Linked DNA regions of Diceros bicornis minor. The protein of the gene in region 2 interacts with the protein of the main gene of each other region in a pairwise test. Links are inferred from orthologs where the notes say so. Each region holds a gene or a part of one and is shown on either strand. Other genes may lie near its edges.

Region 1 (7,835 bases), on a different chromosome or scaffold from region 2:
CTGAAAGAAAGGGACACTGTATTATGGCTGTTAGAAAAGGATCTAGCTTCTCGGGACCCAGCCTTTGCTTAACCAAGAATAAACTGCTGAGACTTTTCCTTTCATTTGAGTGCCCCACTAATGGTAAATAAATTCAGACTGCTCATGTTTAGATTAAATTCTCTACTGAAGTTGGATAGGCTGTAGTTTTTTTTGAATGCAAACTAATGAGGAGGATGCCAGAAGAAAATGAGCACATGAATCCCAGCTCCCATGCTGAACATCCTTAGGCTAGGCCTTTCATGCCACTACAGGATGTTGATAGAGCAATGTGAGAGGGCTCACCTTCAACTTCTAGTTCTTGCTAAGTAAGACCTCATGTCAACTTTTCTTATATTCACTGCAGAGGGCTTTCTTCATTTATTAAACCAAACCTTTAAATTGCACCTGTGCTGTTGAATCCCTTAATTATTACATAATTCCTGTACTATTATCAAGTCAGCTTTCACAAAGTAGCAAGCTCACTCTAAAAAAAGTAATGTTTAAATATCCATTCTAAAAATAAAAGCAATTAAAAAACCTGCTTTATTAAAAACTAGTTTATTAATTTGCCAGCAAAATTTTAATAAAGGATAAGCATACTTACAATTTCTTCTTCTAGAACACCTCTGAAAGCTTGGTCAAGGGTACATTTTTTTTCATTTTCACTATTAAAAAACAAAAGACACTTGCATTTTTTAAACAGCTCAAGGTAAGTACAAAGATCCAGGCAAGCATATTTCATGGATGTCAATGCCGTACCTGCCAGGTAACTGGCTGAAGGTATTCAACAATGGCTTGATATTTTTGTTGTTCAGGGCCTCTCTGGTAGACTTCTAGAAAAATAAAAATAGGAAATAAGTGGAAAGATTTTGCTTATTATTTACTGAAAACCATATCACTTATCAATAGTATGTCTAAGTAAAAAATATTTTTACCTGGGAAAAATTACCTACCAATCATTCTATCAGTAATTCTTATTCAAACGCCACTTACTGATACAGACTCTCATCACTTTAAACCTGTCAAGAGCTTCCTAGCTAGACTTTCTTATTACAGGTGTTCCCTCCTACCATCTCTTTAAATATCACATTCATGAGAGTATTCTGCTTTTTTTTTTTTAAAAACCTCTAAATGGCTCTCTATTTACAGGTTTTGGTTTTGAAGTTTCATAGCTCACTCTCAAGGTCCTTGATAATATTATCCCACTCACTTTATCTAATCTTATTTCCCACTACACCCTAACATAATTTCCACTAAGGTCTAGCTGTTTTTTCATCAGTTTCTATCAAGCTCACTCAAGGGTATTCATACATTCATGTTGTTCTTTCCACCTGCTCGTCCAAATTCTATCCATTCTTCAAGACCCATCTCAAGTCCTACCTCCTTTAGGTAGCTTGATCAGCACAGTCCCTGCTGACTGTCTTAAAGTAGTCATAATTGAAAGACAAGAATATTGCAAAGTCATTCATTCTGTGAAAATTCACATACACCTGCAAAGTCATCTTATTGCCTCATAGGAGTTAGATTTATACTGTAAATAGGCTGTGTAATCTCGGGCCTATCGTTTTATCTCTTTGTGCTTCATTTTCCTCTCCAGTTAACTAAGAGGGATGTTGTAGATCCTTACAACAGCAGTGGCATCACCTCCGAACTTGTTAGAGATACAGAATCTCGGGCCCCATTCTAGACTTACTGAACCAGAATCTACATTTAACAATTTATCTCTAGGTGATCCCACTACACACGGAAACTTGAGAAACAATGGACTAGATGATCTCCAATTAAATGGTCCCTTCCAGGACTAATGTGATCTTGGAGATTCCTCAAGTTACTCTTAGCAGAACTTCAGAGCACCAGGGATTACAGCAAAATGCACAGAAGGAAAACGATTCTGATAACATAAACAACATATAATTTGGTAAAAAACAAACACCACACTGTATGAAAAAAATAATACCTGAACACAAGAAAACTACTGACTACAAAGAATCAATTTTCTTTCACAGAATTTTCATTCGGGCATGACTACAACTACATGAGCATAGTTAAGCATAATCAGTAGTTTCATGACTTGAAATATTGGCACAAATGCTAAAGACAAATACAGTCAAACAATTTTGAACAGAGTTCTTCATGTTTGGGGCTATCATGGGCAATATAAAAAGAATACTGGGTCTGAAGTCAGAAAAATCAGTGAAGTAAATCATTTAACTTTGGGGGGGGCAGTGTCTTAGTTTTTCTCTCATATACAACGGATAATAAAACTTACCTACTTCACACTCCTATTGTAAGAGTTAAATAAGCCAACATGAAAACGCTCTGTAAAGTGTTTCCCAAAGCTCCAACTGCTTTTCCCCAAAGCGTAAGAATAAAATAACATCTGGCAACCTTTCCCAAGCTGATCTGTTTGCCTCTTCCCACTTAGGATCTCCTCATCGATCTCTTAGGAGCGAGATACTGAGAGTTACAAGTGCAGGGAACAGACAGACGGAAAAACCACCTGGCAGCTTAGGAGGCAGGGCAGGAGCCGGTTCTCTGGGCTGAAACCACGCCCGCCTCTCCGCACACCCCCCCGCCCCGCGTAGCTCCCCGTCCAGTTCCGGAGACACCTGCCCCGCTAAGCGAGCACTGACGAGGAGCTGGCCCGCACCGGAGGTAGTCTGCGGATGAGCCCTCCACGCAGGGCTCCAAGACGCCCAGACATCAGGGTCCCGGGGCCCGCTGGCGGGAGAGCGGAGGCGGACAGCAAAGGACTGGCGAAAGACGCAGGTAAAGCGTCTTTCCCACCTCCAGCCCCTGACGGGGCCGGGAGCCCACGCCGCAGCGTACACGCCTCGGTCCTCACTGTATCCCAGGGCAAAATTTGAGTAATTTCAGAGAGAGGAGGGCAAAGAGTAGCCCTGGGTTAGGCCTGCCCCCTCCTGCCTTCCGCTCACCGTAAACCGCGTCCGCGCTTCGGGCAAACTGAAGAGCTGCGGCGTCGGAGACATCTTCCCGGCTGCGCTGGCCCGCCACCGCGCTGTGGCGCCCGCTGATGACGTCAAGCCGAGAGCAACGAGATTGCCGGCTCGGTGCACGGCTAGAGCGGCGTGTGAGCCAAGGGGGGGGCCAGCTGCCAGTCCGGAGACTCTGTGGGGACCGCCCACTCAGGTGGGCGTTGGAAGCCTGAGTCAGCCGCGCAGAGCCTAGTCCGGGTTTGTGGCGTACCCTTGGGGTGACGGCATTTGGGCTGCCTCGTCCTGTAAGCTCTGCGCTGCCGGGCGGGCCCTAAGCCGGGACGCGCACCGGCGGTGGTTTTCCCGGTTTGGGGAAGCCGGGAGGGTGGCGGCTAGTTACGGCTCAGTGCGCCGCGCGGGAAGGTAACCGCTGCCCGAGAATCCAAGGCAGGCGGGTTATCTGGGCAAGTGTTGGCGGTGGCCGGGGACCGCCGGGCCTCAGTCATTCTCCCCGAAGGAGTGGTCTCAGCTCCGGATTTACGTATCAGCCCTGTAGTTCAAGTGCTCTGTGGCTCAGGAGCAGTTCCCTCTTCTGTGACATAGAAATAATGCCTGTATCACAGGGCTGTTGAGAAGCGCGAATGAAACCATGAAGGCAAGTGTGGCTTGTAAAGCAATATAACTTATTGTTAATATCTTGGACTCAGTTAACTTTGGTGGCACGTGGAGGTCTCTACTGAACGATCAAGACCGGGGAGGAATGCCATACTCGGCTCTGATTGGAAAGTGGGTGGGCGCCGCGTCCAGGTAGAGGCACCCGTTTCAAAACGCTGTCTCCTCAGCAGTTTCCTCCTTTGTCTCCTCTCACTGGAGAGGCTTGGTTATGAGAAGCCAACTGTCAGTAACTTTCTCAGTTGGCATTGTGCTGTGGGGAAAGAAGCACTGACCCAAATACGAGGAACTTCCTGCCAGCTCTTATTCCCTTCCACGTGTACCTAAATGAAGAAAGCTAGGTGCGCTTTACATTGTTCCCCTCGTTGACATCCAACGAGAATACGGGAAGCTAACAAAAAGATACTTTTGCCTAGTTTTGCCCCTAAGTGGGGATTGATAACAGTGATGGCTACCTACAGCACGGCACTCTTTTTTAGAATCAGCAGAATCATTCAGGTTTGATTGTATGACTTAAATTTCCAAAGAGGCAAAATAAACTGATATTAGCTGATTTAATAGGTAGCTAGTGTAATAGGATTATTATTATGTTACAGATGATTATTAGCTACCTGGAGCACAATTAAGACCTGGGAGGTATATAAGATTATTTTTTACCAAAACCCAAACATAAGAAGAGCTGGAGTTGATTGACTCGTCCATCAAAGCCCAGTGACTTAGAATTTTTGTTTATTCAGCAAACATTTGTTGGCCATTTTATACACAGTGGACAGTGTTTGTTGAATGAATAATAAATATATGAACAAATGATTGAACAAAATAATATAGTTTAATTCCTGTTTTGAGGAGCTCTGGTTGGCATAAAAGAAACAACTACAGTATACAATTTCTATCGTGAGTAATTTAGGTAATAACTGCTGTAGGAGATCAAAGGAGAGAGATCACTACTGTATGAGGTAGTCAAGGAGCCTTTATGGAGAAGATAGAATATGAGCTGGACTTTGAATTCCAATAGGCATAGGTAAGAGTGGGAAGAGGTAAATAGGAAAGACATTCCAAATGGGGAGAATGGTATGAGCCGAGGTATGGAAGGGAGGAAACATAGTGAAAGACAGCTGTTTATTTTGACTTTAACCTTGGGTTCTGAACAGAAATAGTGCTGAAAAGTCAAGTTGGAACAAGATTGTATTAATGTTTGAGGCCAAAGAATGTTGTGGGTTAAAAATGGCTTTTATGGTTCCTACTAAGTTACAGCAGCAGTATATTTTGGGGGGAGGAGAAAGTGAGCTGTTTTGCTGCTACCAAGTGAAGCAATACCAGATAAAGAAATAGTAGGAAAAAAGCAGCAATCATCAGGTGATAATGGGGAGTTATTGTTTAATAGGTACAGATTTCAGCTTGGGATGATGAAAAAATTCTGGAGATGGATAGTGGTGATTGTTGCACAACAATGTGAATGTACTTAATGCCACAGAACTGTACACTTAAAATGATTAAAATGCCAAATTTTATGTATATTTTACCACAATAAAAAATAAAACCTATTTTTAAAAAGCAGCAATCTGATGCTAGATAGATTAAAAAGAGCTAAGACATCATAGACATCAGTATGATTTGAGACCTCAAGATAAGATTATATTTAGATTTTATTTATTTTTATTTTTTCCCCCCAAAGCCACAGTAGATAGTTGTATGTCATAGCTGCACATCCTTCCAGTTGCTGTATGTGGGACGCGGCCTCAGCATGGCCGGAGAAGCGGTGCGTCGGTGCGCGCCCAGGATGCGAACCCGGGCCGCCAGCAGCGGACAGCGCGCACCCAACCGCTAAGCCATGGGGCTGGCCCTAAGATTATATTTAATAAAGCAAAGAAGTAGTAATGCATTTTAAAAAGATGTCATTCAAAAATCATTGCAGGGGCCAGTCCGGTAGCACAGGCGGTTAAGTGCACGCGCTCCACTGCGGCGGTTGGATCCTGCGAGCGCACCCACGCACTGCTTGGCAAGCCATGCTGTGGCGGCGTCCCATATAAAGTGGAGGAAGATGGGCACGGATGTTAGCCCAGGGCCAGTCTTCCTCACCAAAAAAAAGAGGAGGATTGGCAGATGTTAGCACAGGGGCTGATCTCCTCACAAACAAACAAACAAACAAAAAACAAAAATCACTGCAGTAAAAAATATTTTAGCATTTAGATCACGTTAAAAAATCTTTATAATTCCCAGTGTACTTAACATGTAGTATCTCATTTGATCCTCTAAATGATATTTTGAGGTGGGTAATACAGCTATTATGCCCATTTTACACACAAGGAAGCAAACTCAAAGAGGTATGGTTCTTGATAGAGGTAATTGGCAAAATGAGACCACTCAGGGGTTTTGATTCCAAATTTCGTGCTCTTTACACCATGTTATACTGTTGTAAGTAATTGTCAAGTTTTATTGAGTACATTCTATGAGCCAGACACTTTTCTTGTATTATTTCTACGCCTTACAACAGCATTGTACATAGTTATCTATCAGTGAGGAAACAGGCTCATCTGTCTTAGGTCACATGGCTAGAGAAAGCTAGTTTGGGATTTGAGCCTACCTTTAATCCTTAACTCTTGAATCTTTACCAACAGACATTCCTATCTTAATGTCTCATACATTATTTCCTTACAGTTGGATAAGGGTAAGGATCATATTGTCATCAATAACAACGAATTATAAGTTTTCAAAAGTTTGTAATAATAAAGTTCAAAGGGCAGACATCCAATAACATGTAACCTCTTTGCTTACGTTTATTACGCACTGGTTTTTCCTCTTATGCTAGTGAGGTAAGATGGACCAGGAACTGCCTCTCTGTTAGGAGATACCCTCCATTGGAAATTCCAGGGTGGGTGGTTTAGTTCAGTGCCAAGCATTCACATCTTCATTCCTCTTCTTTTCCTTGCTGTGCTCTTACTTGGATTCAGGTTACCACTGGAGTGGTGAGATCTAGGAGAAAAGGACCAAGGAGGCAGCCTCATCTGCTTTTGTTCTAGTCCTTATCCTCTAGCCCAGGCAAAAGGAAACTTTTTGCTCCATTCTCATCAGTCAACCACATTAGGATGTTGAATTGCAGCTTTTGCTGGTTCAAGTTCTGGGCCCTAACCATCTTTACCCTTTTCTCTCTCTGTAATTTGAGTGGATTGAAATAATGATATTGACAGGGAACTGATGTTTGAGCAAAAAGCAAAATTGAGCAAGAAAAATGAGACTCCTTCATTGGGAGAGGAATGGAACTGAGAAGAATAAAAATGGAAGAAGGATAGCACTTTGTGTATATTTTGGGACTTACAGTTTTGTGGAAAAAGAGAAATTACATGAAAACTGTGTGGGTGTTGTCTTTTTTATAGGGTGGTGGCAATTTTCAAGCATTTTATATTAATATTGTACTATTTATTCAACACATATTGAGTGCCTACCATCTGCCAGCCATAGGTAGAATATTTTTGGATTATATACGCAGTATTATTATTTTATTAAATTGTAAGTACTGTACATCATTATTTAGTGTACATTGAAAAAGCCTGTTTGGTGAGCTTGGTTGGACCACAATACGTGAACATAATTCAAGGTGAGAGAGAGAATAGTGAGTGACTTCTTGCCACGGTAAGCCCAGCTTCCCTGCAGGGTTAGGCAGAGATTTTGCCTGAAATTGCGCATTGCTTGGCTTGTTCCCCTTTCCTGTCCTGTTTCCCTCTCCCTTACTAGTTTCTCCTGAGAGCACCTTAGTAAATTATTTGCTCATGAATTCTCACCTCAGGGTTTGCTTCTGGAGGTCCTAATTGTGTTAGTTTGGGTCTACCAAGAAGCAGACACCAACACAGGATTAGATGTGCAAGAGGTTTATTATGGAGTCAGTAGGAGCAGGCAGGGAAAGAGAGCTTGCAGACCACAATGCAGGGCTGACACCTGTGGAAGGAGAGAGGGAAGGAAGGAAGATTAGGTAGGAAGTTTCTGAGTGAAGTGCAGATCCAAGAAAGGTTTGACTTTGCCAATGGCGAGTCCTTAGGCCAAACTTCTTCTTAGAGGAGTCCCGTGGTTTGCCAGAATGGACCTGCACTAGTACCTCTGCCATGTTCAGTCATTGACTAGAAAGCAGCCCTCAGAAAGCCTGGCCTTGGTGCAAATGTGGTTGATCCAGAGGTTAACAGCTAAAGCTGTCAGTCAATTATACTCCCCACA
Region 2 (6,815 bases):
CGGTGCGTCGGTGCGCACCCGGGATCCGAACCTGCGAACCCCGGGCCGCGGCAGCAGAACATGCACACTTAACCACTTGCGCCACCAGGCTGGCCCCCACACCTATAGTTTTAGAACACTTATAAAAAACGATATTCAGAACTAGATGTCCGGATGACACATATCAGAAATCCCGGTGTTAGAGATAGCAGCTGCAAACTTATCAACCTCAGCATTTAATTCTTGTTTTGATTGAACAAAATCAATAAAATTCTGATTCACACAGAAAATAACTTAGTATCTTAACCACTGCTCACGATCTTCATGATAAATGGAGGGCAATACATAACTAAAAACTATCTATGATACAACATTATCATATCCGACATGCTACACTTGCACCTGTTCACACAGCTGAGATCTCAACGAGATCCAGTGAGCATCTGCACCTGAGCCTCGTGGTCCTCTCAGAGCATCACACATATGTAGTGACAGACCTTTTGTACAATTTCGTATGATAAAAAATTCACGGGGGTGAAAATAAATACATTAATACCAGTGCAGAACTATAGCCTTCCTAGTCAATGACACATTTAAGAGACATTAAATAGGCATAGAAATGACAAAGAATTTATACTGAGAACTGTACAAAAATGAGTTATTTGGCAGCACAAGGTAGGGACTGGGTAATGTCTATCACTGGAGTATATGGACCATTCTACCTCCATGCTCTGCTCACCGTCCGATACCCCTTCCTGGTTTCCTAAGATTCAGGTGAAATGCCCCTCCAATCCTGCCTGGAGAAGGGCCGCCTCCTCCTCAGCTGCCTCTTGATCCCTTATCAGTGTCAGTAACTGCAATAAGCCAGGGGCTGGGCCCTTCTCTGGCAGAGCAAGCTTCCTGCGCAGCCTTCTGTGGACTGCTCCAGCAATGACTTGGTCCAGGCGGGCCTGATTCACAACTTCTCTCTCAATTGCTCCTCTCTCTACCAGCTTCTGTAATAAAGGCTCCAGCCTTAGTACATAAGCAGACAATTTTTCTTCCTCCTGGTAAGTGGTTAGATATTTGACCTGCAACTTCCTAGGATTATCAGTAACCCCAAATACCTGCTCAAGAGCCTGCAGGCATTCAGGGACCGTAATTAACGGATTGTTTATCTTGAGGACACGAATGACATCAAATGCTGGGCCTCTAAGGCTCTCCAGCAATCGCCTTCTTTTCTCTGCATCTGAAACCTGCCATGCCTTCATCATGTGAGTAGTATGAATCAGCCAGGATTCAAATTCTTCTTCGTCTGGTTCTGGAGGATCACTGCCCGAGAATATTCTCAGCTTTGTGTATTTCAGGTACTGCAGGGCAGGCTGAAGAGCCTCAAGAAATGCCTGTGCCAACATAGGGGCCCGTATTTCTGGGCTCATGTCCTGGTCTAGGTCAAAAGGGTCGTTTCCATACCCAAGAGCTCTGGTGAACTCACCCAATGTCATGCCCTCTCCCTCTAAGAATTCATTTAATCTGCTTAAAAATGCATCATCTGGGTCAGGGGGCTTAAAGATCACTCTCCAGACACGCCCTTTCCCAGGTATCTCCTTAGGGACCAGAGCATGACTAGTCTCCTGAGTAAGACCTATTAAGGCTACATTTCTGTTCTCGTCCCTCCTAAACATCCTGCCGAGCAGTCTGTACTCGCCCAAGGGAGCTAGGCCAGCCCGCAGGGCCTCCTCGATCTCCGCCACATTGCAGGTCTGGGGGATGCCGGCGATCAGCAGCGCTTTCCGAGCGCTCACATCCATCTCCCTGCACCAGTCTTCCAAGATCCTCAGCGTCATGATGCCCCAAACAAGAGACTGAAATGTCGGGGCACCGATGCCACCGCACTTCCTCCGCGGTACCCCAGGTAAGTCCCGCCAGCGTCCTGAGCTCGGCGGCCTGCGGGGACAGCGCGGCCGGGTTAGTCGCAGGGGTCCAGGCCCGGGCCCGAGAAGCCCCGCGCACCGCGCCGGCCGCACCGCGGCCGGCAGCCATCTCACCCGCTCCTCGGCCTGGGGCGCCCGCAGCCGACGGCGGGGCCGCGTCCCCTCGCCGGTGATCTAGTCGCCGGTGTCTGCGTCCGCCGGCGGCCAGGCCCGAGGAGCGGGAGCGCGGCGTCTCCTGCACTCGATGGACACTCGAGAGGCTCCCGGGGCTGGGCAGAGGCGCGGAGGAGGGCTGGCGCTCTGCGCGGCGAGGAGCGCCGGGCGATCAGGGCGGCGAGCGAGGCACCGGGGGGCGAGCCCGAGGAGCGCCGAGGCGGCGGGGCGCACCTGAGGGGAGGGGCCCCCACCCGCGCCGCCGCAGCGTCCCGCGTCCCGACCCGCACCGCCGGCGAAGGCCCGACGTCACGACGGGGCGGGCCTTTCGGGGCGGGGCGCGCGCTTCCGGCTCGAGCCGGAAGCCCCGACTGCGGCAGCGTCCGGGACCGCGGGCGGGCGGGCTAACCCGGACAGGAAGGTGAGATCCGGGACCTGCCAGCCCTGCAGGCTCGGCCGGCGGCGGCCGCCCGGCACGGGGCTCCCGGCGCTGCGAGGCGGAGAGGCTTGGGCCTGGCGCCGCCCGCGCAGCCTGTCGCGGCCGGCCGGCGCTGCAGCGCGGCAGGGGGCGGGACGGCCGCAGGGAGGCCCGGGTGGCTGGGGAGCGTCGGGCCGGGCCGGGTGACACGGGCTGGGGCTCCGGCGGTGGCGGCGGCCGGGGCCGGGCCGCCGCGTGACCGGCCGCAGTCACGCTCTGCTTAATCACAATTAGCTTGTGCTCCAGGCTGGCCGCGCTCACCTTTCTCCCAGCCGGTGACCCCGGAGATTTCTTTTATGGTGGCTTTCTGTGAAATGCCAAAGCCACCCGATTATTCAGAACTGAGTGACTCTTTAACGCTTGCCGTGGGAACAGGAAGATTTTCGGGACCATTGTAAGTGCTTAAGAGTTACTGTCTTAACTTGGGGGCCTTGACGTTGGTTTGACTTGTAGAACTAAGTGTTCACGTCTGAAGCAATACTGTTCAAGTATTTTAACTGTAAAAGTGAATTGTTCCGTAGGAAACTAGTTTAATTCCAATTTCTTAATGGAAGATGTGCTGGACCTATTAAGCTGGATATAGTGATTTATTTATTCTGTGGGATTCACATAAAAAGCAGACTGAATACTAAAACTTTACTTCCTCTTATTACATAAAACAGCAATCTGTAAGTTATTTACATTTCTTTGTAAATGTAATTTATTTTAAACCTTAAATGCCTTAGTGGGGTACTTTAGAACTCCTTGGACATAAAGCAAGTACATTTGGAATAGTTGCCGTGACAGCATTACTAGATCCTAACTTTTTTTTTTATTTTAAAGGCACAGAGCATGGAGAATGATGAACTTCCGTCAGCGGATGGGATGGATTGGAGTGGGATTGTATCTGTTAGCAAGTGCAGCAGCATTTTACTATGTTTTTGAAATCAATGAGACTTACAACAGGCTGGCCTTGGAACACATTCAACAGCACCCAGAGGAGCCCCTTGAAGGAACCACATGGACACACTCTTTGAAAGCTCGGTTATTCTCTCTGCCGTTTTGGTTTTGGACAATTATTTTTCTGATACCTTACTTACAGATGTTTTTGTTCCTTTATTCTTGTACAAGAGCTGACCCCAAGACGGTGGGCTACTGTATTATCCCCATATGCTTGGCAGTTATTTGCAATCGCCACCAGGCATTTGTCAAGGCTTCTAATCAGATCAGCAGACTACAACTGATTGACACGTGAAAGCAGTCACAGTTTTTTCCTTATGATTACAAAACTGCCATATGGAACTTGATCACAAGACTGCACTTTCTTCACAGATCTCAGGAAGTTGTGGTGGGGCAGAGGCTTTTTAAAAAATGCGACTAGGGGGCTATCTTTATCTGAATAATAATGAGAATTTTTAGGTAAAGCCTGAGATACATACTACAAAATCATGTTGATGATTTCAGATTTTGGAAGTAAAATCGTGTCTGTTATTTGCATTCTTTAGCAACTTGAATAAGTACCTGAACTCATATTTTTATTCTACTGTGCAACATAGTGATGGTTCAGAAATTTTTCCTTTGGGGAAAAAATGAGTATGAACATTTCCATTGTGTTTAATGTAAAAAGGTCCAAACATGGTGATAAAATTTAAATTTTATACAATTACTTGGCTTGCTTTAAAATTCTTCAGACTAAAACACCAACTATTTATGCTTGCTTGCTATCAGCTTGTGAGAAATTGGTATAAAATTACTGAGGTGATAGCTGTCTGGATAAGCAGAATTGGTTCCTCCTTTTGGTAATGCTACTGGTATTATTAACTAGCATTATTAATGCTACTGGTTTAAAAAAAAACTACTTGGGAAGAGACTGTTTGCAAGTTGAGAAATCTGACACAGAGGAGATGGAAACAAGGTGTCCAGTGAAAATATTTAGTCCAGTCCCTGTCAGATGTGTGATCCTGCTCTAAAAGATACCAGCAAGTCATCATCCTTCCGATTCTCTTTTCTGGCCTAAGGTCTGGTCTTCAGACAACAGGTTAATTGCATGAAGATGTGATCCTTGTACTTCCTGCTTTGCATTTGTACGTACTACCTCATGTCTGGTGCCAATACAAATAACTAAAAAATGGAAATATTAGATTTTAGGATTTTTTTTCTTTTTTCCTGGTTGAGCTCAAGATATATTTTTATACAGTTATGTCATTAATATCAGGGAAATGTTTTACAGTGATAGGTTTTAATAATAATCATAATATTTTGGGGGGCTTACTCTGTTGGGCCCTGTTCTAAGAGCTTAAATGAATTAATTCATTTAATCCTCCCAACAACCCTATGAGATAGCAGTTATTATGCAGATTTTACAGATAAGGAAACTGAAGTGGAGAAGATAAGTAACTTGCCAAAGGTCACACAGCTGGTGAGTAGCGGAGCCAGAGTCATAACTAGGCATGTGACTCCTTTGTTCCTAACCACTGAGTTGTTAGTGCTTCTTGCAAATGACAGATGTTTCAGCACTAGGTACTGTTTGCCTAGCCATGTCAAAGAGTGGAAATGGCAGTAGTATTGAGAAGGCTTTTCTCAATTTGTATGAGCTACTGAAAATCTGAAAGTTTTCTGGCAACCTCAACCTTTAAGTCTGATTTGACCAGAATGGAGGGCTGAGCATTCCACAGCAAGCTTTTACTTGAAAAATAAAGCAGGCATCTTTGTAACTGAAAAGGAGCACGATTAAATCCTCCTCCAATTAATCTCATTTCTTGACTACCTCCAAAGGTCTAATTACTGAAATGATACTTTTCGCTACAATACACTGAATCTTCAATGTAAGCAGCAGTTTGAAATACCTGTGTTTCTGCGAGGGTCAGATAACCAAATCCCTTGTATCTTTTGGGTACTTAGTGATAGTAGGCATGCGGCAGGAAACATTTTCTGAATGGTTTGCATTCATTCCCAGCATCCTGTGAGGCAGGCTGTACTGGTCCTGGTGCCACTTTACAGAAGAGGAAAGGTGGAAACCTGAGGCACAGGAATTAGTAACTTGCCCGTGGGCACACAGCAGTAAGTGGGAGAGCCAGGATCTGAGCCAGGACGTCTGGCTTGACATCTCCAGCTCTGTCATTCCACCATACTGCTTCTCAAAAAGAGAGGGTAATTTGAGGAAAATCATGGAGCAGTTTTTTGTATTTGATTAGTCCTGAGGCAGTGATAGTTTGGAAATTAAGAAAATTATTTCAATTATTTTTTGTTTTGTAAATGCTTGATGTATTGCGAGGTTGGTGACTTTGCCACTTGTAAAGTAGTAATTCCTTTTTATGGAAGTAGACTTTCTCTCTTATACTTCAAATTCTAATATTTGGGGATTTGGTGAGTAAATGCTCAGTCCCTCTCTCTCTTTCAAGATCAAACTGCCTTGGTAGAAGAAATATTAAAATAATTAGAGTAGGAGTAATGCAGTATTCTCAGATGTAATTACTGAATTTCAGATTGCAGCGTTAATCTATTTTTTGATTCTTTAGGAATTAATTATCCAAGTTGTGGATTATTCTTATTTTGTCTATGGCTATTTAAAAGTTCATGGGGGGCCGGCCCCGTGGCTTAGCGGTTAAGTGCGTGCGCTCTGCTACTGGCGGCCTGGGTGCGGATCCCGGGCGCACACCAACGCACTGCTTCTCCGGCCATGCTGAGGCTGCGTCCCACATACAGCAACTAGAAGGATGTGCAACTATAACATACAACTATCTACTGGGGCTTCGGGGGGAAAAAAAAGGAGGAGGATTGGCAATAGATGTTAGCTCAGAGCCAGTCTTCCTTAGCAAAAAGAGGATTAGCATGGATGTTAGTTCAGAGCTGATCTTCCTCACAAAAAATAATAAAAAAAAAGTTCATGGGGCCGGCCTGGTGGCATAGCGGTTAAGTGTGCATGCTCCGCTTCGGCGGCCCAGGGTTTGCGGGTTCGGATCCGGGGTGCACACCAACGCACCGCTTGTCAAGCCATGCTGTGGCAGTGTCCCGTATAAAGTAGAGGAAGATGGGCACGCATGTTAGCCCAGGGCCAGTCTTCCTCAGCAAAAAAAGGACTGGCAATGGATGTTAGGGCTGATCTTCCTCACAAAAAAAAGTTAAAAGCACTCTTTTGGTAAAGAGGGAAAGGTGAAATTAACCTAGCTCTGTTAGATTTGAGGAGGAGGTTGAAATTGATGGATAGGAGACCTATGTATTATAGCAGATCGTCATTTATTTCATGTTCACATCACAATACAAAAAGCAGTGAAAACAAGACTAGGTAGTGAGATAAATGGCAAATATAGGGA

The links.
Region 1: the proteins of MOAP1 (region 2) and THOC1 interact in binary tests that used the Homo sapiens proteins (3 or more experiments, as listed by UniProt). The two-hybrid records come from large-scale screens. The link is inferred for Diceros bicornis minor from reciprocal best matches to the Homo sapiens genes MOAP1 and THOC1.

The regions. Positions count from the first base shown.
Region 1 is NC_080755.1:14,299,762-14,307,596, forward strand, and holds the start of THOC1 (THO complex subunit 1), read right to left. Parts: upstream 3,064-7,835; 5' UTR 3,012-3,063; coding exon 2,958-3,011; intron 2,791-2,957; exon of another isoform or gene 2,643-2,790; intron 855-2,642; coding exon 781-854; intron 687-780; coding exon 626-686; intron 1-625. UniProt on the Homo sapiens protein: Component of the THO subcomplex of the TREX complex which is thought to couple mRNA transcription, processing and nuclear export, and which specifically associates with spliced mRNA and not with unspliced pre-mRNA.
Region 2 is NC_080763.1:38,850,894-38,857,708, forward strand, and holds MOAP1 (modulator of apoptosis 1), read right to left. Parts: upstream 1,806-6,815; coding exon 750-1,805; 3' UTR 588-749; downstream 1-587. Other genes in the region: LYSET (lysosomal enzyme trafficking factor), read left to right, coding at 1,843-1,873, 2,770-2,917, 3,346-3,757.